Macaca fascicularis: one gene and its partners. The main gene of each other region encodes a partner of the protein of the gene in region 3 in a complex. Links are inferred from orthologs where the notes say so. Each region holds a gene or a part of one and is shown on either strand. Other genes may lie near its edges. The genes, in order: MAD1L1, MAD2L1BP and MAD2L1.

Region 1 (10,537 bases), on a different chromosome or scaffold from region 3:
GCTGGCTGGCATCCAGGGGGTAGAGGCCAGGGATGTTGTTCAACAGCCCACAATGCACAAGAAAGTCCTGAGAAAAAAAGAATTACCCAACCCAAATGCCAAGCATGCCAAGGCTAGGAAAGCCCGGGACGGGGGAGGGAAGTTTCTCTGTCCTCCCACCTGTGTTCTCTGGTGGCCCAAGCCCACGCTTCCTTTCTTACTATGTTACCGTGTCTCGATTCCCAGCTGCCGCTGTTTGGGCATTCCTAAGACTGCCCTTCAAACTCAGCAGCCTTCCTGGTCTCACTTCTGTGTCTGCAGTCAAACCTGAGCCTCTCGAGAAGGGTGGGCACCCCACCTGCAGGGGGCATGACCGGCAGGGACCAGGAGTCCCAGACACACCTGATCCGTGTGCCACCTCTGCCTGGAGCTAACTACAACTGAAAGACAGCAACTGAAAGCTTGCCCTTACATTAAATCAACACAGATGTGTGATAAACCAGACAGCACACATTCCCCGGCCTGCCATGGACTCCAGGCCCTCTCTGCCATGCTGGGGGCTCAGCAGGAGAGAAAGAACCACAACAAAGTCCAGAAACGGGATGTGACAGGGGCCAGGGACCAAGGCTGGGCTCACCGACATCACTCTGCTCGCCACCTCGCTCTGACTACCGCACCCCATCACTGATCCCCTCACCGAAAGGCCCTTAACAGTGAGCACTGGGGGCCTCTCAGGTCCAAGACAGACTAGAATCCCAAAGCTTTGACAGATAGGCCAAGAGGTCCCAGACATTTGCATCAAGGAAATTACAGCATTTCAGACCAGAGTTGCCAACTCTGTCATCCAGGCTGGAGGGCAGTGGCGTGATCTCAGCTCACTGCAACCTCTGCCTCCTGGGTTCAAGCGATTCTCCTGCCTCAGCCTCCCGAGTAGGTGAGATGACAGGTGTACGCACCCGCCTAATTTTTGTATTTTTAGTAGAGATGGGGTTTCACCAAGTTGGTCAGGCTGGTCTCAAATTCCTGACCTCAAGTGAACCACCCACCTCAGGCTCCCAAAGTGCTGGGATTCTAGGCGTGAGCCGCCGCAACCAGTTCAGAGTTGGCAACTTCTAATTTTGCCAGTGATAAAAACAACAACCATCTATTACCTTCATAATTTCATAAAAGAGCATTTACATATACATATCACATATATACATACACACACATATACACGTGACCTAATCTCAGAATACAAAACTGTCCTCATGAAGAAACGGCAGTAAGCAAGCTAGCAGCCAGCATTCTTTTTTTTTTTTCTTTTTTGAGACGGGGTCTCGCTCTGTCGCCCAGGCTGGAGTGCAGTGGCGCGATCTCGGCTCACTGTAAGCTCCGCCTCCCGGGTTCACACCATTCTCCTGCCTCAGCCTCCCGAGCAGCTGGGACTACAGGTGCCACGCCCAGTTAATTTTTTGTATTTTTAGTAGAGACAGGGTTTCACCATGTTAGCCAGGATGGTCTCGATCTCCTGACCTCGTGATCCGCCCATCTCGGCCTCCCAAACTGCTGGGATTACAGGCGTGAGCCACCACATCCAGCCACAAGCTAGCATTCTAATAAACACATATTAATTCAATTATGCAACAAAACAAATGCACACACACACAGCTTTACCAAATGCAGCAGGGCCTCATCTGGGCTCTGAGAGCACAGGAAGCCAGAGCCTCCTCTAATGGGCACAGGACTACAGAATGGCTCTGGGGCCTGCAGCAGGGACTGGGAAAGAGGGTCCAGGCAGAGGGGTCTAGAGGAGCCTGTGCAGCCACAGGGCCCAGGCAAGGCTGGAGACACTACTTGCCAGCACTCCCCAGCACTCCACTCCCCACCACTCGGGGGCCCCGTTATCCCAGCCCCACGTGGGGCTGGGCCCATCACTCTTTGGATCCTGAAGTCCTTCAGGAGACCTGAGTCCTCTGCAGTTGTGTCTACAGTGAGCAATCCCCCAAGAACTAGTAACGAAACCAAATACAACTATTTTATAGAAGAAATCCGTAAAAATCACCCCAAAATCTGAAAATGGCCCTCTACAGCCTGAGACCACAAAACATCCCGTCCTTCTGCTCACGGCTGTGGCTTTGTCTCTGGGCTGCCGGGCACTCCCGCACTGTGTTTCCGACACAGCCTGCCCGACGGTCCTGCTGCTCACACTCCCAGGCAGTTTGGGTTCTGTCCTCAATTAGATGAACGAACTGGCTTTCCGATCCTGTCACCAGGGTCTGTGGGTGCACTTGTGTGAATGCAATGCTGAGCGCCAGGCCCACTCAGGGTGCTAACAAGGCAGGCCTTCGAGCCAGGATGGCTCAGGGCCCCAACTAGCCTCCAGCTACTGCCCCAAAACGAGAAGTGGCCACAGTGAGGCCTGGAAGATGAGCAGCTGGTCTCTAGGCTGAGCTAATACTGACCCACCTCAACTACAGAACACTTGAACAGGCCCTGCCTGGGCCCAGGGGTCTCCCCAGAGAAGACTCCCACCCAGGCACATGCCACTCACCTGCATGCTCTGCTGGTACTGCATCTGCAGAGAACCTGGGGCCGAGGTGGAAATATCCAGTCCAGATCCTCCCTCCACCCGCTGAGAGATGAAGTTGTTCAAAGATCTCAGGGTGGATAAAACCGTGGTGTTTTCCCCCAGGTCTTCCATGGTTGCTTTCCTTCTGGGAACAGACAAAGGACTGGTCAGGGCCAGCCTTTCTACGTGCCATCAGCTGTGCAGTCAGCGGGGCCTCTGGACATCCCCACTCCCCTAACGCTCATTGGAGCCCATAATACACCAGTGTCTGTAACCACATTCTTCAAAGGCAACTGGGAGCCATGCTGCCAATTTACCAGACAAAAAATGGAAGCAAGAAAGCATGCCACCAAATCCCCGCCACTGAGCCACCGACTGAGTCTCAGCTGCACACAGACAGCTGGCGCCCAAGAGGCGGAGCTCAGCACTCAGGTGGCACGTCCTCCCACAGCACTGTAAGAGGGTTCTCCAGAGAGACAGAGCCAACAGGACAGAGACAGACACACGAGAGGGGCATTATTAGGGAAACGGACTCACACGATTAGGGAGACTGTCCCACAACAGGCCGTCTGTAAGCTGGAGCCCTAGAAGCCTGGCAGTGTGACACAGTCCAAGTCTGAAGGCCTCAGAGCCAGGGGGGCCGATGGTGTAATTCTCAGTTCGAGGAACTGCTGGAACGAGTCCTGGAGACCAAAGGCCGGTGAGCTTGGAGTGCTGCTGTTGAGGAGAGGAGAAGAAGGGTGTATCCCAGCTCCCGCAGGCAGATGGACACATTCGTCTTTTCTGTTTTTGTCCTCTCCAGGCCCCAGGCTCTTGGATGGTGCCCCCAACACTGGGGGGTGGATCTTCAGCACCTGGTCCACTCAGACTCCCAAGCTCATCACCTCTGGAAACACCCTCACAGGCACACCCAGAAACAAAAATGATGCTTTCCCAGGTTTCTAGAAATTCCTGAATCCAGTCAGCTGATGCCTGAAACTAACTACCAGGAGCACTCACAAAAAAGTCTGGCCTCCTGCCCAGGTGGGATGGCTCACGCCTGTAATCCCAGCACTTTGGGAGGTGGAGGCAGGCAGATCACTTGAGGTCAGGAGTTCAAGACCAGATTGGCCAACATGGCAAAATCCCATCTCTAATAAAATACAAACACTAGCCGGGTGTGGTGGTGCGCGCCTGTAATCCCAGCTATTCAGGAGGCTGTGGCACAAGAAACGCTTGAACCTGGGAGGTGGAAGTTGCAGTGAGCTGAGACCGCACTACTGCACTCCAGATTGGGTAACAGAGTAAGACTGTGCCTCAAAATAAATAAATATTAATTAATTAATTAAGGCCAGGCACTGTGGCTCATGCCTGTAATCCCAGCACTTTGCAAGGCCAAGACGGGCAGATGACCTGAGGTCAGGAGTTCGAGACCAGCCTGGCCAACATGGTGAAACCCTGTCTCTATTAAAGCCGGATATGGTATGCACCTGTAATCCCAGCTACTCCGGAGGCTGGGACAGGAGAATTGCTTGAACCTAGGAGGCAGAGGTTGCATGCAGTGAGCTGAGATCGCACCACTGCACTCCAGCCTGGACAACAGAGCAAGACACCGTTTCAAAAAATAATAATAATTAATTTTTTAAAAAGTCTGGCCTCTGGGAATCAGAAATGAGGCATGCAACAGTGACAGTAAAGATGATCATCACAGCTGTGCTAATTTTCATTGTTTATTTCTAGTGACATTAATAAGTACTACTACTATTTTCAACTAGGTACTGGAAAGAAAGGTATCTGACATTTCCGAGCACGGAGACTTCTTGAACTTCAGCTTCCTCATCTGTCAACTCATGACAGTGAAATCTACTTGCAAAGTTGTGGGGAATGGGGTCAATATCCCTCAAGTCTTCCACTGCTAGATAATGGGAATGCAGCCGCAGGTTGACCAGCACTACATTTGTAAGCTCAATCTTAACAGGGTGGTGAATCAGGTCTTTTTACACAGATTCTAGAGATGATGAAACTGAAGCTTCAAAAAGTTACAGAACGGAGATTGGGAACTTGGGTCTGTCTGGCGTTGGAAGGCTGAAGACAAGCAGCAGCAAAGAACTTTGCACCCCTAACACCTGCGCTGACGATGGTCTCACGGCAGGCCGGCCCACCAGCCCTAACAAGGGGAACAGCCAAGCGCGTTTAACAACCAAAGGTAGAACTCCTGCAGCTGCACAGTTTCTGAGTTTCCATTGAACAAGAACCTCGGCCTGCTGCAAGCAGAGCCCTGAGCTCCCCAGGCTGCGAGCCCCGCAGAGGCAGGCCCGCCTGCAGGGAGGCTCCACAGCCCAATTCCTCCATTGCCCAGAAGAGACCAGGGCGACCCCTGCCATCCCCGAGGGGAAACCGGGCCCACACGCCCCCTTCCTGAGAGCGGGCCCGCGCGAGCCACGAGGATGCCAAGAGCCCCTGCAGCCCCGACTTCTCCACCAGGCGCCAGCTCAGGCCCCTTCCTCGGCGCGCCGGCACCCTAGCCCGGAGACCCCCACGGCGGGCACGGGGACCCCCACGGGGGGCACCCGGACCCCGGGGCTGGGGCCACGAGCACGCGCCCCTCGGCCGCCCGCCCTGGCACAAGGGACGGCTGCGGAAACCCAGGCGAGGGGCCCGCTGTACCCAGCACAGCCCGAAGTGGGGCGTGGGGACAGCGGAGTGGGGACAGGGGAGTGGGAAGAGGAGGAGAGAGGAGGGGAGAGCACAGAGAGGGGAGCGCGCCCATGGGAGGCGGGGCGGGCGCGCGGTCCTGAGGCACGGGGTCCAGGGTCCTTGTGCCCCACCCTGGCGGGCACACCCGGTCCGGGCCCTCGGCCCCGCCCTTGCCACCCCCGGGGCCCCAGGACCCCAGAACCCCGCCGCCCGCGAAGGCCGGGCCGCTCACCTCAGTCTCCCGCAGCCCACTTGCCGCCGCCGCTCGGATCTCCCTCCGCTCCGCCCGCGCCCACTTATCGCGACACTTGCGCCTGCGCTCTCGCGAGACCTGGGTGGGAACCGGGCCGTAAAGAACCGAGTCTTCGCACCAGCTGGTCCTGGGGCCTCCGTGCCCGCACCCAGAGCCGCCACCCCCGGGAGACTACACACGGAAAGGACTCGGAACCGAAGGCCGGGCCAAGGCGCAGTCGGGGTCCCCGACCCCGCGCAGGACGCGCTTCCACTAAGGCTTTCGCCTCGCGCCGTAATGTGTGGAATAGCCGCGCCCATAGCAGCCTCCTGCAACAAACTTGCATTGTTGACTCTTCCCAAAATTTTGCTACTCAGTATCAGCTTGAATCAATCCGTTATTTTGCTTTTATCTGGGCCCACTAGAAATGCAATTTATGCTACTAGGCTACCTCCTAATGCTCTGCAAGCCAAGGCACAAAATCCAACGGGGTGAGGTCAGGCCCCACTATTATTACGGTAACCTTCGTCTATCCTTCAATTTGGAGCCTTCCTGAGAAGAGTGTGCCTCCTCTCTTCTTCCCACCTCTGCCCAGTCCCTGGCTTCCCTCTAAGAAGATGCTGTTCCTAAGGGTCTACATTGAATTTTTCTTCTTCCAGAGAAAAAGACTTCCAAGTTGTGTGCCCCGGAAATGAAAGGGAATGAGAACGAGGTGGAGTAGGGCAAGAGAGTCCCTGGACTTAACTACCTGACTGCAACCAGAAATAAAATGAAAGGCCAAAACATCTGGCGGCCGGGCGCCGTGCCTCACGCCTGTAATCCCAGCACTTTGGCAGGCCGAGGCGGGTGGATCACGAGGTCAGGAGATCAAGACCTTGACTAACACGGTGAAACCCCGTCTCTACTAAAAATACAAAAAAAAAAAAATTAGCCGGGCTTGGTGGTGGGTGCCTGTAGTCCCATGTACTCAGGAGACTGAGGCAGAATGGCGTGAACCCCGGGAGGTGGAGCTTACAGTGAGCCGTTTCAAGGCACTCCAGCCTGGGCGACAGAGCGAGACTCCGTTTCAAAAAAAAAACAAGTCAAAACATCTGACCTGCAGTTTCCTTTGGGGAGCTGGACCAAGCCCCAGATCCCTGATGGCGATTCCTGGGTTTCCAGACTTACCGCACTGGTGCTTGGAATTGAATCATAGTTACAGTCAACACACTTCTTGAGGGATGAGTACACCTCCAGGAAATGGCTTTGAGGAAGCCAGTTTTAAAAAAACAAAACTTAAAAGCATGAAAGTCCCTTACAATAATGCAACTTCTATTTTATTAAATACAAAGCTGCGGCCGGGCGCGGTGGCTCACGCCTGTAATCCCAGCACTTTGGGAGGCCGAGACGGGCGGATCACGAGGTCAGGAGATCGAGACCATCCTGGCTGACACTGTGAAACCCCGTCTCTACTAAAAACTACAAAAAACTAGCCGGGCGAGGTGGCAGGCGCCTGTAGTCCCAGCTACTCGGGAGGCTGAGGCAGGAGAATGGCGTGAACCCGGGAGGCGGAGCTTGCAGTGAGCTGAGATCCGGCCACTGCACTCCAGCCTGGGTGGCAGAGCGAGACTCCGTCTCTAAATAAATAAATAAATAAATAAATAAATAAATAAATAAATATAAAGCTGCATCGAGTTCCTAGAAGAGTAAAAGAAAATAAACACACCACATCACTGCTTGCTTTGGCAATTACCTTTATGTTCTTGGGAGTCCAGACACAGATACAAATTTCCAGCGAAAACCAAAGCACACCCAGTGCATGAGTAAATTCAGACCATACGTCTTCCCTAATCGCTCTGGGAACTTCTGCTGCTTGAAGAATGCATGAATCTCTAGATTACTCACCAGAAAGAAAGAATTTAATCCCCAGATGGAAATTTCAGATTTTTCTTTTGGTTTGGTTTTTTGTTTTTTCATTTTTGTAGAGACAGTGGGTGTTGCTATGTTGCCCAGGTTGGTCTTGAACTTCTGACTTCAAGAATCCCCCAGCCTCAGCCTTCTGGGATTATAGGTGTGAGTGGCCTCACCCAGCCCCCAGATTTTCTACTTTAAATAGCCACACTAAGAACTGGAAACCTGTGCATGGTGCTCTGGGAGGAGCAGTGGAAAGCCTGTTTCTGTGTGACAGTTTAACAGTCTGTAAGATGAAGTCCCGTCAAGGCACACATGGGCACACCCATCCCTGCCTCAGCGGATTCCTTCTGATTCTTCCCACAGTCTGTCTCTCTTCATCCTTCCATCCTCACCTCTTTCTCTTGATAACTTTCTCCTCACAAATCAATATAGAGGACTTTTTCATTTTCCATGGCCCCTGAACTTAGTTTTGTCATCTCTTTTTGGTTAAAAAGAGAGAGAGAAAGAAAGAGACTCCCAGCCGGGCGCGCTGGCTCACGCCTGTAATCCCAGCACTTTGGGAGGCCGAGATGGGCGGATCACGAGGTCAGGAGATCGAGACCATCCTGACTAACACGGTGAAACCCCAAATACTAAAAATACAAAAATTAGCCGGGCGCGGTGGCAGGCGCCTGTAGTCCCAGCCACACGGGAGGCTGAGGCAGGAGAATGGCGTGAACCTGGGAGGCGGAGCTTGCAGTGAGTGGAGATCGCGCCACTGCACTCCAGCCTGGGAGACAGAGCGAGACTCCGTTTCAAAAAAAAAAAAAAGAAAGAGACTCCCCACTTGTCCTGTTCCATCTCCAAAATCAGCTCAGATCTCCCAGGAACTCTTCCGGAAGGAGCTCAGGCTACGTTTCGAGCTTAAAAGAAGCTAATGACCATTATGAAAATGGCACAAGAAATCCTCACTGCTTCACAGCGCCCTTCCTTCCCTGGTACTGTGTGGCCAAGAAGTACACTTCTGATGACTCTTTTCTGCTGGCTTCAGGTTTGATGATCCTTACATTCTGGAATTCCTCTGTCAGTCTCCTCTGTAACCGATGGCTTTGACTTCCAGCCCAGGTTTTACAAAGGAATGTTCCCCGAGGTTGCAGGATGTCTGGGGTCATGCTGAGAAGGGTCAGGCACAGGCTGATGAGCCTGTCATGATCGAGGTCCCGGAACCCTGTGGCATTGGGCGCCATGTCGCTCAGAATCACATCTGCTCTCCCACCAGGAAGCACCTCGAGGATTCTCTGTGAGGTTCTCGGGTCAGTCACATCAGCAGGGCACAGAAAAGTTGCTCCTTCCAGGGGGAATATGTGAAGAAGATCTACCCCAAGCACGAAGCCAACAGGAGAGCTGGGATCTATGGAAGAAATGGTGAATGTGTTATTTATTTACACCCTGAATGTTTTCACAAAAATATAGTACATGCAACAAAATGATGAAATAAAAGTAAAATGTCAAGACCAATGCAAAGAGCTAATGTGCAAATAGGTAAACACAGGCCTTTTCTATCTATACATCCTATAAAGACACGTGGTGGGGGAAGTCGTGGGCCTTAACATCTGAGAAGCTGAGGCCCATACAGGAAGTAACTGTCCTAGAGTCATCCTCAGCCATGGGCAGACCTGTGCCAAGCGCCAGGACTTCTGATTCCAAATCTGGTATCATTTCACTACCCAAGGCTCACTCTCTGTGAAAGGGTTCTTATCTCTGAGTGCTCTTTTGATAAACTAAAATAGAAAATAGGCCGGTCGCAGTGGCTCACAACTATAATCCCAGCACTCTGGGAGGCTGACACAGATGGATCACCTGAGGTCAGGAGTTCGAGACCAGCCTGGCCAACATGGGGAAATGCTGTCTCCACTAAAACTACAAAACTCAGGCAGGTGTGGTGGCACATGCCTGTAATCCCAGCTAGTCGGGAGGCTGAGACAGGAGAATCTCTTGAACCCAGGAAGCGGAGGTTGCAGTGAGCCAAGATCACGTTCACGCTCTCTCCTTCTGTCACCTTCTCCTACAAGGCATGCTCTTGCTTCATCTCAAGAGCACTACACTCCAGCCTCAGCGACAGAGCGAGACTCCATCTCAAAAAAAAAAAGAAAAAGAAAAAGAAAATAATATACTAGTGCATAAAGTGCCTCTGGATTAAATCAATAAATCCATTCTCCTTCTCCACCTTAATCCAATTGCTTCCAATGTAAAAACTACTGGAAATAAGTCAAGAGATGAGGAAAATGAACACATACAAAATAATGTACAAAAACTGATACCAGCTAGGTGCGGTGGCTCACACCTAAAATCTCAGCACTTTGGGAGGCTGAGAAGAACTGCTAGAGCCCAGGAGTTCTAGTCCAGCCTGGGCAACATAGCAAGATCCTGTCTCTACAAAAAAATATAAAAATTAGCTGTAGTCTCAGCTACTCAGGACACCCAGCTAAAATGAGGCATGAGGCTGGGCGCGGTGGCTCAAGCCTGTAATCCCAGCACTTTGGGAGGCCGAGGCGGGCGGATCACGAGGTCAGGAGATCAAGACCATCCTGGCTAACACGGTGAAACCCCATCTCTACTAAAAAATACAAAAAACTAGCCGGGCGAGGTGGCGGGCGCCTGTAGTCCCAGCTCAGAAGAGGCTGAGGCAGGAGAATGGCGTGAACCCGGGAGGCGGAGCTTGCAGTGAGCTGAGATCTAGCCACTGCACTCCAGCCTGGGCGACAGAGCGAGACTCCGTCTCAAAAAAAAAAAAAAAAAAAAATGAGGCGTGAGGCGTCCCATTTTCCTGGGCTGAAGATTGAGGGGTTTTACCTTTGAAAAATGAGGTAATCTTCAAAATACCTGGACTTCCAATGTTTAAACTAGGAATGAAACATGGTCTCTTCCTCGCCCCCTACCGTTGGAACAGCCTTTCTGTTAAGCAGACTGAACAAGAACATCTGTGACTCTACCCTTAGCTTATCAACTCTGACACTTCTCAACAGAACTACGGCTCTCCTCAGTGGAGGGGACTGCTGGGGAGATGGGGGTGTTGGGCTTGTGAGAGGGGCTTTGAATGTAGGTACAGAGTGAGAAGAGGGGGAGGCAGACGCTGACATCAGTTATAGGAAACAAGTCTTGTTTTAGGTTAAGGTGACACAATGGCACCTTTTTAGTTTTACAACTGGTGTTACTCAAATATCAGC
Region 2 (9,539 bases), on a different chromosome or scaffold from region 3:
CATTCTCCTGCCTCAGCCTCCCAAGTAGCTGAGATTATGGGGATGCACCACCACGCCTGGCTAATTTTGTATTTTTAGTAGAGACAGGGTTTCTCCATGTTGGTGAGGCTGGTCTTAAACTCCCAACCTCAGGTGATCCGCCTGCCTCAGCCTCCCAAAGTGCTGGGATTACAGACATGAGCCACTGCGCCCGGCCTCTAATCATTGTACTTTTACAGTATGTTTTGACTTCTGGTCCCTACTTCCTGAAACACACCCTTTTCTTGGCCTCCATGACCTGACACTTGTCTTTTTCTGTAGGGACAAGGTCTCATGTTGCCCAGACCGGTCTCAAACTTCTGGATTCAAGCATTCCCCTTGCCTTGATTTCCCAAAGTGCTTACAGGCATGAGCCACCATGCCTGGCCCCACTTGTCTATTTTGGTTTTGGAGGCGGGGTCTCACTCTGTCACACAGGCTGGAGGGCAGTGGTTCGATCACAGTTCACTGTAGCCTCAACCTCCCAGGCTCAAGCAATCCTTCCACCTCAGCCTCCCAAAGTGCTGGGAGTACGGGCATGAGCCACCTTGCCCGGCGATTTGTCTATTTTTCTTTATCCTTCTGTGGGTACTCCTTAGTCTTCTCCATAGGTTCTGTCTCTGTGGTCATCCCCTAAATGTTAGTGTCTTCAATAACCTAGCCCATTCTCATTCCACACCCTCCCTGGGTGATGTTATCCACTCACATGATAATGGCTCTTAAATACATGTCGCTATTCCAAATGGCATTCCTAAATATTTCTATTCATTGTCCTATGGAGATGTCAAATTCAATCTGTGAAAAGCTGAACTCATCTTTTCTCCTACTCACCTCCCACCCCAATAAACCTGGTCCTCTTTTAGTGTTTCCTCCATCCTTTTTTTTTTTTTTTTTTTTTTGAGTCATGGTCTCACTCTGCTGCCCAGGCTGAAGTGCAGTGGCTTAATCATAGCTCACTGTAACTGTCGAACTCCTGGACTCAAGCAATCCTCTGCCTCAGCCTCCTGAATAGCCAGGACTACAGATGTGCACCCACCACACCTGGCTAACTTTTAAAAACTTTTTTTTTTTTAATTTTGCAGAAACAGGGTCCCCAATATTGTCCTGGCTGGTATCAAACTCCTGGCACAACTGGCCATACAATTGCTGAAGTCAGAAACCTGCTTGTTTTCTTGTCAGTCTTCTTTTCTTTTCTTTCTTTTGACATGGAGTCTTGCTTTGTCACCCAGGCTGGAGTGCAGTGGCGTGATCTCAGCTCACTGCAACCTCTGCCTCCCGGTTCAAGCGATTCTCCTGCTTCAGCCTCCTGAGTAGCTGGGATTACAGGTGCATGCCACCATGCCCAGCTAATTTTTGTATTTTTAGTAGAGACAGGATTTCACCATGTTGGCCAGGCTGGTCTCAAACTCCTGACCTTGTGATCCACCTGCCTTGGCCTCCCAAAGTGCTGGTATTACAGGTGTGAGCAGCCACGCCCGGCCTCTTGTCAGTCTATTTCTATTCCTCCTCCTCCTTGTAAATCAATCACCAAGTTATGTTCACTGGACCTCCTAAATATATCGAGTTACCCAATTATCTCCACCCCACTGTGACTACCCTAGCAGTTTAGGCTGCTTTCATCAAGTACTCAGGTAATTGCACTACCTCTAACTGGTATCCCTGCCTCCTCTCTTATCCTCTCTGTAATCCAATCTCTACCCTGCAGCCAGGGTAGAGATTATAAGATGTAAATTTAATCATGCCACTCTCCTACTTAAACCTTTCAAAGCTTCCCCATCTGACTACAGGATCAAGTCCAAACTCTCACATGGCTTACACAGTCCTGCCATGATCTGGCTCCTGTTGTTCACTACAGCCTTAACTCTTTATAATATGAACTCTTTTCATTCCTTGAACAGAGTATGCTCTTGTCTCAAGGTCTCCTGGAGCACTGGGCCCTCCTCTTTACCTTGCTGACTTATCCTACAGGTCACAGCTTCACACATTTCTTCTGGGACCACTCCTTCCCAGCCCCTACCCTCTCTGGGTCAGGCACCCTTGTTTTTCACTTCCACACCCCGTGTAAACCCTTCTGTATAATTCATCACATTGTATCGTATCTACAGGCAGTGAACCCCTTGAGTACAGGGTCCGCGCCTGGCTTGTTCTCCGCTGAGTCTCCAGCACCTAGGACAGGGCCTGGCACGAAGTAGGTGCACAGTGAGTAGTGAATGCTGGAGTGAATGGATGCGTGAGGGTTGGTGTCTTTTGGAAAGCAGCGCTCATTGGCTGAGAACGCCTGGGTTCTTGCTGGGCAAGGGTTAGGCGTATATTTGCCAGGGTGTTAAGGAAGGAACGGAGGGATCAAATCCCAACTCCACTTAGCCTCCCCAACACTGCCGTGGCGCCGCGCCTTTTTTCCGGCCCAACTGAACCGGAAGTGGAGGCGCGGGCTTCCCATGATGCCCCGCGGGACCTTTATTCTAACCGCAAGGAGTAAGGGGAGGAGGTCGTGATGGCGGCGCCGGAGGCGGAGGTTCTGTCCCCAGCCTCAGTCCCTGGTAAGGCGTGGGGCCCAGAGTTTGGGAAGCCTTAGGGACCCGTTTCTTCCCTACCTCCGCGCCCTCCATTTATCCCTTGGTCCTCTCCCTAGCCCATCTTCCCTGTCTTCCGGGTGTCCTACAAGGCTCTAGCTGTGACTCCATCGCCGTGGGTCGCACTGGACCCTGCTTGACTACACTTTTGACTCATTTCCCCAGATCAAGTCCCGCTGCTTTCTGAGCGGGGAGCCCTAGTTACTACCTCCGAAATACCCCCACTATCTTTCAGTCAATTAAATCTCCTCAGGCAACAGGGATCAGGAATCTCTCCCTGCCACGGCCCACACTGTAGGCTGCGGAGGGTATGGGCGTATGTCGGAGTGCCTGCTTTCTCAGGGTGGCTGGTTTGGTGGCCACAGGGAATGAGAAGACTGACTTTGGCTTTTAGGTTTTAAATTTTTCTCTCTTGTCCCTCTTTTCATCTACCAGATTTGGAGTGGTATGAGAAGTCAGAAGAAACTCACGCCTCCCAGATAGAACTGCTTGAGACAAGCTCTACCCAGGAACCTCTCAACCCTTCGGAGCCCTTTTGCCCAAGAGACTGCATAGTACCAGTGGTGTTTCCTGGGCCTGTAAGCCAGGAAGGCTGCTGTCAGTTTACTTGTGAACTTCTAAAGCATATCATGTACCAACGCCAGCAACTCCCTCTGCCCTATGAACAGCTTAAGAACTTTTACCGAAAACCTTCTCCCCAGGTAGGCACAGGCTTTGGGAGCAAGTTGGTGGGAAGACTTTGTGGCTCTTAGATGGGAGGCAGGTAGAAAGGGGGTCTAAGAAATCTTCAGAGCCTGAGAGACTAAGCAGCTTCCAGGGCTTCAGTCACTTTCTCCCCATTCTAGTCTTTGGTAGCCTAACCCTTCTGGCTTTTTCTCCTGTTCTTTCTTTCTGAAACTCGTGTTGCATTTGGTCTTAATGAACTGGCTCTTCGCATTTTTTTCTTTTGAGACAGAGTCTCGCTCTGTTGCCCAGGCTGGAGTGCAGTGGTGAGATCTTGGCTCACTGCAATCTCCCCCTCCTGGGTTCAAGGGATTCTCCTGCCTCAGCCTCCTGAGTTGCTAGGATTACAGGCTCCCGCCACCACACCCAGCTAATTTTTGTATTTTATGTTTTGAGACAGAGTCTTGCTCTGTTGCCCAGGCTGGAATGCAATGGCGTGATCTCTGCTCACTGCAACCTCTGCCTCCCAGGTTCAAGCGATTCTTGTGCCTCAGCCTCCCCAGTAGCTAAGAGCACGTGCCACCATGCCCGGTTTATTTTTGTATTTTTGGTACAGATGGAGTTTCACCATGTTGGCCAGGCTAGTCTCGAACTCCTGACCTCAAGTGATCTGCCCGCCTTGGCCTCTCCCAAAATGCTGGGATTACAGGCGTGAAATACTGCGCCCGGCCTGCATGTTTCTTTTTAATAGCATCCTGTTGTTGAATTTCTGTATGAACTTTTTTTTGCTTTGTTTTTTTTTTTTTTTTTGAGATGGAGTCTCACTTTGTCACCCAGGCTGGAGGAGAGTGGCACTATCGCAGATCACTGCAACCTCAGTCTCCCAGGTTCAAGTGATTCTCCTGCCTCAGCCTCCCAAGTAGCTGGGATTACAGGCATGCACCACCACACCTGGCTAATTTTGTTTGTTTGTTTGTTTTTGATAGGGAGTTTCATTCTTGTCACCCAGGCTGGAGTGCAGTGGCGCCATCTCGGCTCACTGCAACCTCTGTCTCCCAGGTTCAGGCGCTTCTCCTGTCTCAGCCTCCTAAGTAGCTGGGATTATAGGCATGCGCCGCCATGTCCAAATAATTTTTGTATTTTTAGTATAGACAGGGTTTCACCATGTTGGCCAGGCTGGTCTCGAACTCCTGACCTCAGGTGATCTGCCTGCCTCAGCCTCCCAAAGTGCTGGGATTACAGGCATGAGCCACCATGCCCAGCCTGTTTGTTTTCTGAGACAGAGTCTCGCTCTGTTGCCCAGGCTGGAGTGCAGTGGAGCGATTTTGGCTCACTGCAACCTCCACCTTCTGGGTTCCAAGCGATTCTCCTGCCTCAGCCTCCCAAGTAGCTGGGATTACAGGTGTGTACCACCACACCCAGTTAAATTTTGTATTTTTAGTGGAGACGGGGTATCGCCATTTTGGCTAAGCTGCTCTCAAACTCCTGACCTCAAGTGATCTGCCCATCTTGGCCTCCCAAAGTGCTGGGATTACAGGTGTGAGCCACCACGCCTGGCTTACCCAGCTAATTTTTGTTTTTTTAGTAGAAACGGAGTTTCACCATGTTGGCCAGGCTGGTCCCAAACTCTTGACCTCAGGTGATCCACCTGCCTCAGTCTCCCGAAGTGGTGTTGGGATTACAGGTGTGAGCCACCGCACCAGGCCATGAACTTCTTTTGCCTGAGGATATTATTTAATTTTTGAAGTTTTTCTTTGTTCTTTGCGGCATCTCAGTTTCTTCTAGAATCCATTCTCCATTTGTTTTGTTCTGGTCTTTGACTTTCATGTTGGAGAATTTTATTGTGTCTGGTGAATATTTAAGAACAAATCACTGCAAGCTCTGTGTGCATGCCTGGGCCTTATGAGCTTATAGACTTCACTATAAGGAGATTAGGTGGCAACCTGGTGATCTCTTTGGGGGGATTCCTTAAACATAGTATTGGAAAGTCTTCCCTCTGGATGGGGGAGAAATTTGGCAGATGATCTAAGCATCTTGACACAGATTTTCATTCATTTCCCCTATATTCATTCTTGCCTCTGTGGTGCCTGTATCACCACTTCCTAAACCTTTCTGGGGTTCTGCTGTGTGTATCAGTTTGCATCCCTTGGGAGTCCCTTCTGTCAGCACTTGGTATTCAGCTCTCTTGAACTCTTAATTCTTCACCTTCTTTCTTTTCTTTTTTTTCTTTTTTTTTGAGACAGAGTCTTGCTCTGTCGCCCAGGCTGGAGTACAGTGGCGTAATCTCGGCTTACTGCAAGCTCCGACTCCCGGGTTCATGCTATTCTCCTGCCTCAGCCTCCCAAGTAGGTGGGACTACAGGCACCCGCCACCACGCTCAGCTAATTTTTTTTTTTTTTTTGAGACGGAGTCTCGCACTGTCGCCCAGGCTGGAGTGCAGTGGCGCCATCTCGGCTCACTGTAAGCTCCACCTCCTGGGTTCACGCCATTCTCCTGCCTCAGCCTCCCGAGTAGCTGGGACTAGAGGCGCCCGCCACCACGCCCGGCTAATTTTTTGTATTTTCAGTAGAGACGGGGTTTCACCGTGTTAGCCAGGATGGTCTCGATCTCCTGACTTTGTGATCTGCCTGTCTCGGCCTCCCAAAGTGCTGGGATTACAGGCATGAGCCACCGTGCCCGGCAAGGCTAATTTTGTGTGTTTTTAGTAGAGACAGGGTTTCACTGTGTTAGCCAGGATGGTCTTGATCTCCTGACCTCATGATCCACCTGCCTCGGCCTCTCAGTGCTGGGATTGTAGGCATGAGCCACTGCGCTCGGCCAACTCTTCATCCTCTTTCTGTCTTCCAAAACTTTGTGTTTGCATTTGACTAGTGTTGTGTAGTCTCCAGTTCTTTGCCCTTGGGAGTTTTCTTTCTCGGTCTTTCCTCTTCTTTCGTTCATTTGTTTCTTAATTTCTTTTCTCTCATTTTGTAGTATTTCAGGTGGAAGCGCAAATAAGCATTGTTCAGTTTACTATGTTTAAGTGGAAGAACAAGTTCAGAGTCATGTTTATTAGACCAAATAATCCTTATTCCTGTTATCACTCCCTGTATAGCAAAAATTTGTTGTCACTTTGTCATACTACCAAATCTCTATTTTAGTTGTTTATATCTGGATATTCTCCACCTTCAGAACACTGTGTTTGCTGTTCTATATGTGGGAGAATTATGGTTTTGTACAAATAATATATTTTCCTTTTCAGTATAATGCCCTCTGATAAAACACAGTGTTGTGGCTGTGGCGGTTCATTGAGCTAGAAATTCAGTCCTGTAAGTCTATGTACACATCCCAGCAGGGTTCTTTTCAAAGGGCATTAGCTTCCCCCTGCCTTGTTCTTCTCTCCCGCCATTCTTTGTCCTCACAGGCAGAGGAGATGCTGAAGAAGAAACCTCGGGCCACCACTGAGGTGAGCAGCAGGAAATGCCAACAAGCTGTGGCAGAACTGGAGAGTGTCCTCAGCCACCTGGAGGACTTCTTTGCACGGACACTAGTACCACGAGTGCTGATTCTCCTTGGGGGCAATTCCCTAAGCCCCAAGGAGTTCTATGAACTCGATTTGTCTCTGCTGGCCCCCTACAGCGTGGACCAGAGCCTGAGCACAGCAGCTTGTTTGCGCCGTCTCTTCCGAGCCATATTCATGGCTGATGCCTTTAGTGAGCTTCAGGCTCCTCCTCTCATGGGCACCATCATCATGGCACAGGGACACCGCGACTGTGGAGAAGATTGGTTTCAACCCAAGCTCAACTATCGAGTGCCCAGCCGGGGCCATAAACTGACTGTGACCCTGTCATGTGGCAGACCTTCCATCCGAACCACGGCTTGGGAAGACTACATTTGGTTCCAGGCACCAGTGACACTTAAAGGCTTCCGCGAGTGAATGAGTGCTTCTTAATTATAAAAACACAATGGCTGAATTATCTTTCTTCATGTGGCACTGAATTACCCATCTAGTTTGGAGCTAGAGTTTCTTCCTGGTGAGAGACGAAGCAACTCTCCTTCTGGTTGTCTGCCTCCCCTCCTCAGGTTTCCTGATGGGCTGATGGCATGTGGCGGTGACTGTAATCATTGCTGAACAACATCTCTTTGAATCAAAGGTTGATTTTCCCAGAGGGTGCTGGGTCAGGTATTTCTGTTAGGGGTTGTAAAGCAAAGATGGGTCCATAGACAGAAACTCCATGAAGGTGGCCCTTTCTGCTCCTTGCTGTGTCCTTTCAGAATTTTTCCCAGGAACATAATGTGGATGTGACTTATGAATTTAAATATAAAATAAATAGATTCTTATTATATTTTCCTGAAATTCTTTTGACTTAAAATAACTTGTCAGGTTTTAGGCTATTTTGTCTTTCTCCTTGGCCTCTTCTGCTTCAGGGCGTCTCAAAAATTTATTATATTTTTCTTTTTTGAGATGGAGTCTTGCTCTATCGCCCAGGCTGGAGTGCAGTGGCATAATCTTGGCTCACTGCAACTTCCGCCTCCCAGGTTCAAGGAATTCTCCTGCCTTAGCCTTCGAGTAGCTGAGATTGCAGGTGCCCACCACCACACCCAGATAATTTTTGTATTTTTAGCAGAGATGGGGTTTCACCATATTGGCCAGGCTGGTCTCAAACTCCTGACCTCAAGTGATCCACCTGCCTTGGCCTCCCAAAGTGCTGGGATTACAGGTGTGGGCCACTGTGCCCAGCCTTAGGATTTTTTAATAATGATTTTTTCTCTTCTTCAGCCCCAGGCTAATCTAGGAAGTTAAGTGACTTGGCCAAGTGCATATGTACTTTGATAACACAGTTAGGACTAGAGTCCTCATTAGCTATCTTTTAGCCAATGTGCTTTTCTTATCACATACAGATTTTTGTGATGCTTAAATTCTGTATCCCCCAAAGCAGAGGTCATCTTTATGTGGGAAGATTGTGGTAAAGAACTTAGCTTACCAGGCCACTGAATAAAAGCAGTGATTTTGGGAAATAGTCTGGCCTGGTGCTTGGTTTGTAGTAAACTGAGCAGGTATGCTGAGTAGCGAGAGGGGAGGAGCCACTGTGCCCGGCCAAACACCTCAATTTTTGGAAGCAAGTTGAAGACAGAATCCACACTTTGCTGGTGTTGGGGATAGGTATATGCATGTGTATGTATAATATATAAATGGTATATATAGGCTAGGTGAGTAACTCATGCCTGTAATCCCGGCACTTTGGGAGGCTGAGGTGGGCAGATCGCCTAAAGTCATGAGTTGGAGACCAGCCTGGCCAACATGGTGAAACCCTGTCTCTACTAAAAATACACACACACAAAAAGGCCAGGCACGGTAGCTCATCCCTGTAATCCCAGCACTTTGGGAGGCTGAGGTGGGTGGATCACAAGTTCAGGAGTTCAAGACCAGCCTGACCAATATGGTGAAACCCTGTCTCTACTAAATATACAAAAATTACCCGGGCTTGGTGGCGAGTGCCTGTAATCCCAGCTACTTAGGAAGGCTGAGGCAGAATAATTGCTTGAACCCAGGAGGCAGAGGTTGCAGCGAGCCGAGATCACGCCACTGCACTCCAGCCTGGGTAACAGAGTGAGACCCTGTCTCAAAAAAAGAAAAAAAATTAGCCAGGCGTGGTCGTGGGCACTTGTAATCCCAACTACTTGGGAGGCTGAGGCAGGAGAATCGCTTGAACCCAGGAGGTGGAGGTTACAGTGAGCTGAGATCATGCCACTGCACTCCAGCCTGGGTTACAGAGTGAAACACCGTCTCACACACACAAAAAAAGGTATATATATACTCACACGTATGTACATAGTATAAGATACATATATGTACTCCTAAAATACACTATTTTTTAAAAAGTATATGTACTATTTTAAGCACTTACATTATCTAACCCTAACAACTCTGCAGTGCATGAATTATTGTCCCCATTTTATAGATAGGGCCAGGGGAGATTGAGCAGTTTGCCTAAGTGGTGAAACTTGGATTCCCCTACAGTACTGCACATCCTATGTGGTTTTACTCTGAAATATTTAGCCAAGATTTGCCTTGCCAAAGGTATTAGCATCAGGAAGCTGTAAGATTTTCCTCTCTGGCTTCAGATTCTGGTGTCTGCCATGGAACCTGCAATAGGTGCTGAGTAAATATGGAATCAATGAAAGCAAAACGCCTGGGCTCTTTTCTTTTTTTTTTTTCTTTTTTTTTTTTTGAGACGGAGTCTCGCTGTGTCGCCCAGGCTGGAGTGCAGTGGCCGGATCTCAGCTCACTGCAAGCTCTGCCTC
Region 3 (9,579 bases):
CAGGTCCACCAACTCCGCCTGCGCAAACCGGCCGTTCCCGCGAGATCGCAGGAAGGCGGAGAGAAAGGGCAGGGCCCCGCCGCGTGGGGCGGGGCTTAGAGGCTCGTCGCGCCTGCGCAGAGGACCGGACAACGCGCTGCGTCGTTACTTTTGAAACGCTTGGCGGGGAAGTGCTGTGGGAGCCGCTGTGGTTGCTGTCCGCCGAGTGCAAGTGCGTGCCTTTGTTTGTGTCCCTGGCCATGGCGCTGCAGCTCTCCCGGGAGCAGGGAATCACCCTGCGCGGGAGCGCTGAAATCGTGGCCGAGTTCTTCTGTAAGTCCTCGCGCCGGCCATTATATTGGGGGGAACTGAGTCGTGGCGGCTCAGTAGGCCCACAGCTCGGCCTCTGAGACCGGAGAAGTAATCTGGGAGCGGCGGCTGCAGGCTGTTCCTCCTGACGCGTTGCTATAACGTGGAGCTGCAAGCCTGCGTGCTGCTGGGGCCTACCTCGCGGCGTAGCCTCTTCCGGAGCGTTTCTTCCTTTAAGTGCAGATCCGTCCCACCTCCCACCCCTTACTTTCCGATACAGGACACAGCGTGACTGGGGTGGGTCCCAGTGTGGGTGTGTATGTGTGTGTTTTTTTTAACTGCGAGAGCACCCTCACCCTCCCACTCTAAGTGATTATTAGGCATGAGGCTGGCGGTAAACAAGATTTTGGGAACCCTTGTTCTCGAACAGGCCAGCTGCACGTTGTAAAGGAACCTGGCAGGATTTGGGAGGGAAAGGGGAAGATACAGGCTTGTCTGGAGCAAAGTGACTATTCAGTCAGTTGCTGACTCGAATGCAACAGCCTATTTTGACATCCTCTAGCCTCATAATCTGAATTTGGACTTGGATTACAATGAGGTGAAATTTGGCAATAGTAGGTTGATACACTTTGGCTTTTTTTTTCCTTGGCACGTGAAAACAATTATCTTTTTTTACTTAGATACAAGACTTTTAAGGATTTTTAATGCCACTTTGTACCTACTCTGCTTTCAGCAAGATACACGTGTGTTCAGTCATTTATAGCTGTATAGCCTAATGAAAATATAGCCACATCCAAATATATTTTATTTTCCAGAGTTATGCAGTGATAATGAATTTTCTGTAACATTTCTTTTGCTTGCAGCATTCGGCATCAACAGCATTTTATATCAGCGTGGCATATATCCATCTGAAACTTTTACTCGAGTGCAGAAATACGGACTCACCTTGCTTGTAACTACTGATCTTGAGCTCATAAAATACCTAAATAATGTGGTGGAACAACTAAAAGGTATTTAATCATTGGAAGTAATTTGAGTCTTGCAGATTTTTTAGCATCTCAAGTGGTCATTTTTCCGCTCTGCAAATAGAAGTGTACTCACATCTCAAATATATTTTAAGTTGAGAGGAAGCAAATAATATATAAAATGGAAGAAATTCACTCTTCCCCCACTACATTGTGAGTGGGCTGAATATTTTGATGTAAGAAATCTGATATGGCTGAAAAATAGTCTTCATCAACTCCCTTAGAAGTGGCTTTCGCAGTTAATGTGGCCAAATGGAACAGGTTGGAATTTTACATAATTATAACGGTGTTCACTATCTGAGAAAATATACACTACATATTCTCAATATAATGTATTTTCTGTAACTAATTAGTTTTCTGTAGTCTAATGTTATCATTAGATTAATATCAAGGAAATTGGATTCAACCAGATAAACTTCAAAAAAAGAAAAAGATTAGCTGCTAAATGACAGAACACTCACAGTTTTTTTGTTTGTTTGTTTTGTTTTTCACATATTTCTGTTTGTCGTTTTCAAAAATTCTGCCGGTGATTCAGTAAGCCTTTTCTGTCTGAACGTTCGTTTTTCTTTAGTTCGAGAAATTGCTGTATTACCTGTCGGGTGAATACTTGTTCTTCATCTATTTCTTTTTCCTTTCTAGAATTCCTGTTAGTTTCTCTTTCATGTTACCCTCCACTTAGGATTCTCATTTCTAATTTTTCAAATGTTTCTCCCATTTGATCTTCTAAAATTTTTGAAAGTACTACAGTGGGCATCTTTTTTTTTTTTTTTTTTTTTTTAGAAATTATTTCTTTTGTTGTTGACCAGAAATGTGTCTTTGTTTTGCCATTTTTATTGCATTTTTACTAACCTATTTTTAATATGCCCTTCCGATAATGGCCATGTGAACTTTTTTAGCTTGATAACTCTCTTTCAACCTATACTATCCTCTAGATAAACTGTTAACATTGCCTTGCCTTTTATGTGTACAGGAGTGGAATGCCTCAACAACCTGTGGATGTTACGTCTTAAATTGACAGGCAAGGGAAGATAGCCCTGTTGACATTTTGGCCTGGATATTTCTTTGGTGTGGGTGCTTTTCTGTGTGTTATAGAATGTTTACCAACATCTATGGCCTTTACTAACCAAATGCCAGTAACAAACCACCTTGCTCTGACAACCAAAAGTGTCTCCATAAATTATATTGCCAGATGTGCCCAAGGGGACAAAATTGCCCTTAGTTGAGAACTGCTGCTGTAGTAGATTGGTATTGTCAAAATAGCAAGATGAGACCTCTTTTGGTGTGGGAATAGACCTCTGTTCTCAAGTGTACACAGGAAAGACATTGATAGGAGTGTCCACCTCTCCCAGAGTTGCATCCAAAATTGGGGGTCAGGAATAAATCATCTGTAGTGATTCATAGGGCTGCACTCAGATCATTTGGCCTGGAACCTCTAGGCAACTATGGATGTGTGTTTCCATCTTAATTTGCTAGAGAAGCAAGCATTGCCTAAGCCAATGGTTTTTAGGTTGTCTTCTTTGAGACTGCATTGAAGCCAATGGTTTTTAGGTTGTCTCCTTTGAGACTGCATTGATGACACTTCACGTTATGTGTGTCTAGACCTTCCTATTTAACTTCTCCCTTTTATTTTAGTTAAAGTGGAAAAATTGCTCTTCCCTAGAGGCAAGTTGTTCTGTTTGTTTTTTGTTTGGAGTCTCACTCTGTCACCCAGACTGGAGTGCAGTGGCGTGATCTCCACTCACTGCAACCTCTGCCTCCCGAGTAGCTGAGATTATAGGCGCCTGCCACTATGCCCGGCTAATTTTTGTATTTTTACCAGAGACGTGGTTTCACCATTTTGGCCAGGCTAGTCTTGAACTCCTGACCTCGTGATTCACCCACCTCTGTCTCCCAAAGTGCTGGGATTACAGGCGTGAGCCACCACACCTAGCCAGTTGTTTTGTTTTGAATGTCATTTCCTCTAGCCTTTTTTAGGGTCTTGATCCTGTTCTCTGTTATATTTTCTGCTTCTGTGTTTTGATTTTAATTATCCCCATTGTTTTCATCTCTCCAGTTTTAAAGGAAGAACAAATTACCACCCAGTCTCCTCCTTTTCAGAGTGAAACTCATAAAAAGTTGTTGATAAATGCCAGGGATCACAAGGCCCACAGGCCGCATCCAACAGGTGGCCTGTTTTTGCACTGCCCACAAGCTAAGAATATTTTTACACTTCAGGTTTGTTTAAAAATAAGCAACAGAGACCTTGGTGGCCTATAAGCTTAAAATATTTACTAATTACTCTTTTTTGTAATTTTTCTTTACAAAGTTTCTTTACAAAAACTTCGCTGACTCCTGAATATGCTGTTTCAATTTCCAAGATTACTTCAAGGCTCAATCTGAGCCCCCGTTCTGTCTTTATAATTTCTCTATAGGTGATTTCTGACCTGTGTATAGCTTCACTAGCAACCTCTGTGTAGTCAACTCACAAACTTATATATCTATCCCAAAGCCTCTTTCTCCAGACTCATATATTCAGCAGCTATATCTTTATGTAGCTATCCCAGAGATAACATATACTCAAGCATACTAAAAATTAAATTTAGGATCATATCCAAAACTGATACTCTTTAATTTTCTCTCTGTCAGTGGCTAAACCGTCCAAACAGAAATAAAAGAAACTTGGAAGCTGTCCCTGAATCATGCTTCTTCCTTACTACCATGACTAAACCCAATAAATTTTAACCATGAAATCTCTTACATTTACCTACTGCTTCGTCTCTACCAGTTTATCCTCCTACAAGCTTTCATTAACTCTTGCTCGAATTACTGATGGACCAACTAGTGTCTCTAGATCCCCTCTTTAACATCTCCAGTCTACTTTCCATATCACAGCTAGAATGATAGTTTTGAAATACAAGACTAATTGCTTTACATCCTGCTTCACACACAGTAATGACTTCACTGGTCTTGAAGTGCATATTTTTTAAATTTGATCCACCAGGCTTTGCGTGGTCTGGCTTCTATTAATCTTGCAAGGATTGTATTGTTTTATTTTGTTTGTTTGTTTGTTTCTTGATTGCACTTGTAGTGAGCTGCTTCCAGTCTTCTAGTTATATGCTCTTCCCTTGTGAGTATTTGAGGCCTGTATCTTCTTTCCTATCCTTTTGCATATTTAATGCTGTTTATCCCTAGAGCTAAACTCAAACCTTTTCTGACCTCCGTAAGTGGCTCAAATTTTCCTTCTTTTATGCTCTCATTGCATCTTACATCTCTCTTTCATAGCAGCCATTACAATGATAATTTGTCATTTATTGGTGTGATGAGTAGATGAATGCCCATCTCCTATGCTTTTATCTTGGATTAGGATGAAAGTACCATATGTTCAGTATTCTGTCCTCAGCACCAATTACTGTACCTGGTACAGATACTGAGAATTTGAAAACAGAAGTTAGAGTATTGATGGTGCAAATTTTCTTGCACGTAGGAGGAAGTCCAAGATAGCAGTGGTAGGAATTTGCTGAGGATAGGGAGTAGGACCTGAGAAGAGAGCTACTTTATGATGCAGTGGACCAAGAAAGATGCCTTCATTTTTATGTGTTGCAGATTGGTTATACAAGTGTTCAGTTCAGAAACTGGTTGTAGTTATCTCAAATATTGAAAGTGGTGAGGTCCTGGAAAGATGGCAGTTTGATATTGAGTGTGACAAGACTGCAAAAGATGACAGGTAAGTAGGAATTACATTATTTCTACTTTGATATATTTTTTCAAAACTTGTTTTTATTACCAATTGAGTTCTAATTATATTGAACTAGTTTTATATAAAATATAGTTTGTTTCTAATTTATATTTTCTAAGATATCCTCAGTCACCTGTGGAAAAGAATTGTCGGTTTAACATATCATTGATTTGTATATATATAATTGCCTTTAGTCTAAATCAGCAATTTTCAAACAGTATTTATGGTGGTATATACAAAACTACACATGATATACTAGATGAACCATTTAATGAATTGTTCTAAGATGTTTTTAACTATAAGGAATTATATTAGATTCACACAATTTATGATGTAGCTCTGCTGTACTTCCTTTAATGCCATCTACTTCCTAAGACACTTGATAAATTTCTGAAAGTTCCAGACTCCCTGGAAGAGAAGTGTCTGTCTTTATACTCTAATGTTTAGCATTGTCCTAGGCATGCTTTTCTATAAACTGGGAACCATTTCTTACAGTGAAATGTAGTTTGCTTCTGAAGGCTTTGGTTTATTTTAGGAAATTTTTAGCTTATAAAATAATTTGATACACAATTTAATGTTTTATTTGAGAAAATAGGAATTTAGACATTTAGGCATTACTAAAAGTGCCAAAATGATTATACCAATTAAATATTTTAGATAGCATTTGTTATTTTATTTCAAGAGATGCTGAAGTTTCCTGAACTTGAAATGATTGGCAGATTTTCTAGTCATCTGATACTAAATGACCTGACACTAAGACCAGCTCTAAAAGATGCCTGGCAGGATAAATGAAGTAATGAGGATGTATGTTGTGCCTACTAGGTTATAGGTCCAAAGGATACTTTCATTCACAGTTTTTACAAACCTCCTTTTTAAAGCACTGCTTATTTGATGTTGAGAGCATTTAATCAAATAAATAATCTTACCACTATGTTTGAAATAACTTAAAACCTAAAATGAATTAATTGATTGGGTGCACTGTTGATTTTTTTTTTTTTTTTTTTTTTTGACAGTGCACCCAGAGAAAAGTCTCAGAAAGCTATCCAGGATGAAATCCGTTCAGTGATCAGACAGATAACAGCTACGGTGACATTTCTGCCACTGTTGGAAGTTTCCTGTAAGTATACAACTTCTTGTTGGATTAAATTGATTGGCAAAAAGACTAAGCTACTGCCTTAATCACCCCTTTATTCAATTTTGTCTTGTCAGATTTATGTAATATAAATTGAAGAAAAAACATTATAAAGGAAAATTAATGTATCATAGTCTCCCTTTCCACAAGGAGACCCACAGTGACTACCTGAAACCATGGATAGTATGAACCCTGTATGATGTTTTTCTTATGCATACATACCTGTGATACAATTTAATATGTAAATTAAGCATCGTAAGAGTTAATAAACTGGAACAATTATAACAATATGCTGGCATCACTATTCTTGTGCTTTGGGACCATTATTTTTATTTATTTATTTATTTATTTATTTTGAGACGGAGTCTCACTCTGTCGCCCAGGCTGGAGTGCAGTAGCGCGATCTCGGCTCACTGCAAGCTCTGCCTCCCAGGTTCACACTATTCTCCCGCCTCAGCATCCCCAGTAGCTGGGACTACAGGCACCCGCCACCATGCCCAGCTAATTTTTTGTATTTTTAGTAGAGACGGGGTTTCACCATGATAACCAGGATGGTCTCGATCTCCTCCTGACCTAGTGATTCGCCCACCTTGGGCTCCCAAAGTGCTGGGATTACAGGCGTGAGCCACCGCACCCACCCTTGGGACCATTATTAAATAAGATAAGGGTTACTTGAACACAATCACTAAATTGCACAGAAATTAGATACAATATTTTCTTTATTAAGATAAATGTTCATTGAGCAAAATAAATTAGTGATTAGAGGCCAAGCCAAATGACCTTTTCCAGCAGTGAGTTGTTCAAAATAGAAGAGAGGCAACAAGATTAGTTTTACTTTTAGAAAGTAATGTACTTTAATGATCTTATCCCCAATTTAGGTTCATTTGATCTGCTGATTTATACAGACAAAGATTTGGTTGTACCTGAAAAATGGGAAGAGTCGGGACCACAGTTTATTACCAATTCTGAGGAAGTCCGCCTTCGTTCATTTACTACTACAATCCACAAAGTAAATAGCATGGTGGCCTACAAAATTCCTGTCAATGACTGAGGATGACGTGAGGAAAATAATGTAATTGTAATTTTGAAATTTGGTTTTCCTGAAATCAAATCATCTACAGTTAATATGTTTTATTTCATTGGTTAATTTTTACATGGAGAAAACCAAAATGATACTTACTGAACTGTGTGTAATTGTTCCTTTTATTTTTTGGTGCCTATTTGACTTACCATGGAGTTAACATCATGAATTTATTGCACACTGTTCAAAAGGAACCAGGAATTTTTTTTGTCAACGTTGTGATGTATATTCTTTGAAGATAGTAACTGTAGATGGAAAAACTTGTGCTATAAAGCTAAATGCTTTCCTAAATCAGATGTTTTGGTCAAGTAGCTTGACTCAGTATAGGTAGGGAGATATTTAAGTATAAAATACAGCAAAGGAAGTCTAAATATTCAGAATCTTTGCTAAGGTCCTGAAAGTAACTAATAATCTATAAACATGAAATATTGCTGTATTAGCTCCTTTTGACCTTCATTTCATGTATAGTTTTCCCTAATGAATCAGTTTCCAAATTTGACTTTAATTTATGTAACTTGAACTTATGAAACAATGGATATTTGTACTCTTTAATGTTCTGTGATACAGAACTCTTAAAAATGTTTTTGTGTGTGTGTGTTTTATAAAATCAAGTTTTAAGTGAAAGTGAGGAAATAAAGTTAAGTTTGTTTTAAATTTGTCTTAAAAATTTTGATACTGGTTTGGTGTTGATATAGTTAAATGGTAATTAGAATTGATTCAGCATAACTATTGAATTCTTGTTCCTATGAAGTTATAGAACTTAAAGATACAAAGTTGAGTGAGTCTTGAGGTGTCTTCAATCTAATGGATAAACTTTGATCACATCCTGTTGATCTCATAGCAATAGACAAAGCTATTACTTCATCATTGTGAAAGGATAAATGTCCTTTGGAATTAGTCCAACAATTCCAGTTGAACAAATGTTGATTTTAGTACTTTACTATACTCTTAGCCTTATTATCAGCCTACTTTTCTTTAGGTATTTAAATACTATGCTTATTCCTGTGCTTTCATTAATACCTTCATCTGGTACATGCTTTCTATCCAGTTCTCACCTGTTTTTCCAAAGTCAATTTAAGGCAGATTTGTAAAGTCTTCTCTCATCTCTAATCTAAATCTGACCTCATTTTGTAAAAATTCAGTTTATTAATGCTTATTATTAGACACTTAAGTTCTTTATGTGTATGAAGTAATTGCAGATAGTCTGAATGTGTTCATTCAGAAATTACATATTGAGCAAATACTGTGGATCAGTGGCAGTTTCTGGGTTCTCAGTGACAAATTTGTAGACTCTTCATATCTTTATGGAATAAATGGAGCACTGGTGTTACCCAGCTAGATGATATCAAGAAAATGGCCAATAAATGCTTCATTTGTATTTTAACTATTTGAGATGTCAGACTAAATTCTGTGAAATCACTTTTTTTTGCCCCAAGATGGAATCTTACTCTGTCGCCCAGGCTGGAGTGCAGTGACGCAGCTCAGCTCACTACAACCTCCGCATCCCGGATTCCAGCAATTCTGTCTCAGCCTCCCGAGTAGCTGGGATTACAGGCATGTACCACCACGCGTGGCTAATTTTTGTATTTTTAGTAGAGAGGAGGTTTCACCATGTTGCCAGGCTAGTCTTGAACTCCTGACCTCATGATCCACCTGCCTTAATGTCACAAACTACTGGGATTATAGGCGTGAGCCACCACGCCCTGCTGAAATCACATTTTTAAAGGTTGTGTGTATATTCTGGTCATTTCAACTCAGCTACCGTTATTAACAGGATTCAATTCTTAGATTTTTGTATCATTTGCATGTTACTGTTTACTCTGAGGTTTCTGGGGAGCTAGTCATGACGAGTCATTTTAACCCTTACAGATTATATAATCAATTAAGAAATACGCATTTTGGGCTGGGTGCTGTGGTTCACGCCTGTAATCCCAGCACTGGGAGGCCGAGGCAGGTGGATCACTAGGTCAGGAGTTTGAGACCAGCCTGGCCAAGATTGTGAAACCCCGTCTCTACAAAACATACAAAAATTAGCTGAGCATGGTGGCGGGCACCTGTAATCCCAGCTACTTGGGAGGCTGAGGCAGGAGAATCGCTTGAACCCGTGAGGCGGAGGTTGCAGTGAGCCAAGATCGTGCCACTGTACTCTAGCCTGGGCAACAGAGCAAGACTATTTCAAAAAATAATAATTAATAATGTATAAAATACACATTTTGGAGCTGAGCGGGAGCCAAACTATGAACTTTATTGAGGTGAAGCTAGACTGGAAAAGCTTTGCCCTGTAGCTCCAAGTGGACTGTCCCATCCTCTTTTTAGACCTTGAGGCTTACCTCAGGAG

Evidence for each region.
Region 1: the proteins of MAD2L1 (region 3) and MAD1L1 are in contact, whole or in part, in a crystal structure (PDB 1GO4), measured with the Homo sapiens proteins. The link is inferred for Macaca fascicularis from reciprocal best matches to the Homo sapiens genes MAD2L1 and MAD1L1. Residues at the interface, in NP_002349.1 of Homo sapiens: Tyr38, Leu61, Tyr64, Asn67, Val68, Trp75, Gln82, Lys83, Ser89, Ile91, Glu92, Ser93, Gly94, Arg99, Gln101, Ser150, Phe151, Asp152, Leu153, Leu154, Ile155, Tyr156, Thr157, Asp158, Lys159, Asp160, Leu161, Val163, Lys166, Trp167; in NP_001013858.1 of Homo sapiens: Glu527, Arg528, Ala530, Leu531, Gln532, Gly533, Asp534, Tyr535, Gln537, Ser538, Arg539, Thr540, Lys541, Val542, Leu543, His544, Met545, Ser546, Leu547, Asn548, Pro549, Thr550, Ala553, Arg554, Leu557.
Region 2: the proteins of MAD2L1 (region 3) and MAD2L1BP are in contact, whole or in part, in a crystal structure (PDB 2QYF), measured with the Homo sapiens proteins. The link is inferred for Macaca fascicularis from reciprocal best matches to the Homo sapiens genes MAD2L1 and MAD2L1BP. Residues at the interface, in NP_002349.1 of Homo sapiens: Tyr33, Arg45, Thr52, Leu54, Lys122, Asp126, Glu127, Arg129, Ser130, Arg133, Gln134, Thr136, Ala137, Thr138, Thr140, Phe141, Leu142, Leu144, Glu179, Val181, Arg182, Leu183, Arg184, Tyr199, Asp205; in NP_055443.1 of Homo sapiens: Pro61, His79, Tyr82, Gln83, Gln85, Pro88, Leu89, Pro90, Gln93, His96, Ala185, Leu187, Arg188, Phe191, Arg192, Phe195, Asp198, Ala199, Phe200, Ser201, Glu202, Leu203, Gln204, Ala205.

What each region holds. Positions count from the first base shown.
Region 1 is NC_088377.1:35,703,528-35,714,064, forward strand, and holds the start of MAD1L1 (mitotic spindle assembly checkpoint protein MAD1), read right to left. Parts: upstream 5,513-10,537; 5' UTR 5,439-5,512; intron 3,248-5,438; exon of another isoform or gene 3,245-3,247; 5' UTR 3,068-3,244; intron 2,676-3,067; exon of another isoform or gene 2,673-2,675; 5' UTR 2,663-2,672; coding exon 2,513-2,662; intron 1-2,512. Other genes in the region: MRM2 (rRNA methyltransferase 2, mitochondrial), read right to left, coding at 8,279-8,721. UniProt on the Homo sapiens protein: Component of the spindle-assembly checkpoint that prevents the onset of anaphase until all chromosomes are properly aligned at the metaphase plate.
Region 2 is NC_088378.1:127,882,056-127,891,594, reverse strand, and holds MAD2L1BP (MAD2L1-binding protein), read left to right. Parts: upstream 1-2,477; 5' UTR 2,478-2,512; coding exon 2,513-2,558; intron 2,559-3,026; coding exon 3,027-3,292; intron 3,293-6,495; exon of another isoform or gene 6,496-6,570; coding exon of another isoform or gene 6,571-6,657; coding exon 6,658-7,170; 3' UTR 7,171-7,579; downstream 7,580-9,539. UniProt on the Homo sapiens protein: May function to silence the spindle checkpoint and allow mitosis to proceed through anaphase by binding MAD2L1 after it has become dissociated from the MAD2L1-CDC20 complex.
Region 3 is NC_088379.1:125,162,784-125,172,362, reverse strand, and holds MAD2L1 (mitotic spindle assembly checkpoint protein MAD2A), read left to right. Parts: upstream 1-110; 5' UTR 111-239; coding exon 240-312; intron 313-1,151; coding exon 1,152-1,298; intron 1,299-4,895; coding exon 4,896-5,016; intron 5,017-6,041; coding exon 6,042-6,145; intron 6,146-7,038; coding exon 7,039-7,211; 3' UTR 7,212-7,895; downstream 7,896-9,579. UniProt on the Homo sapiens protein: Component of the spindle-assembly checkpoint that prevents the onset of anaphase until all chromosomes are properly aligned at the metaphase plate.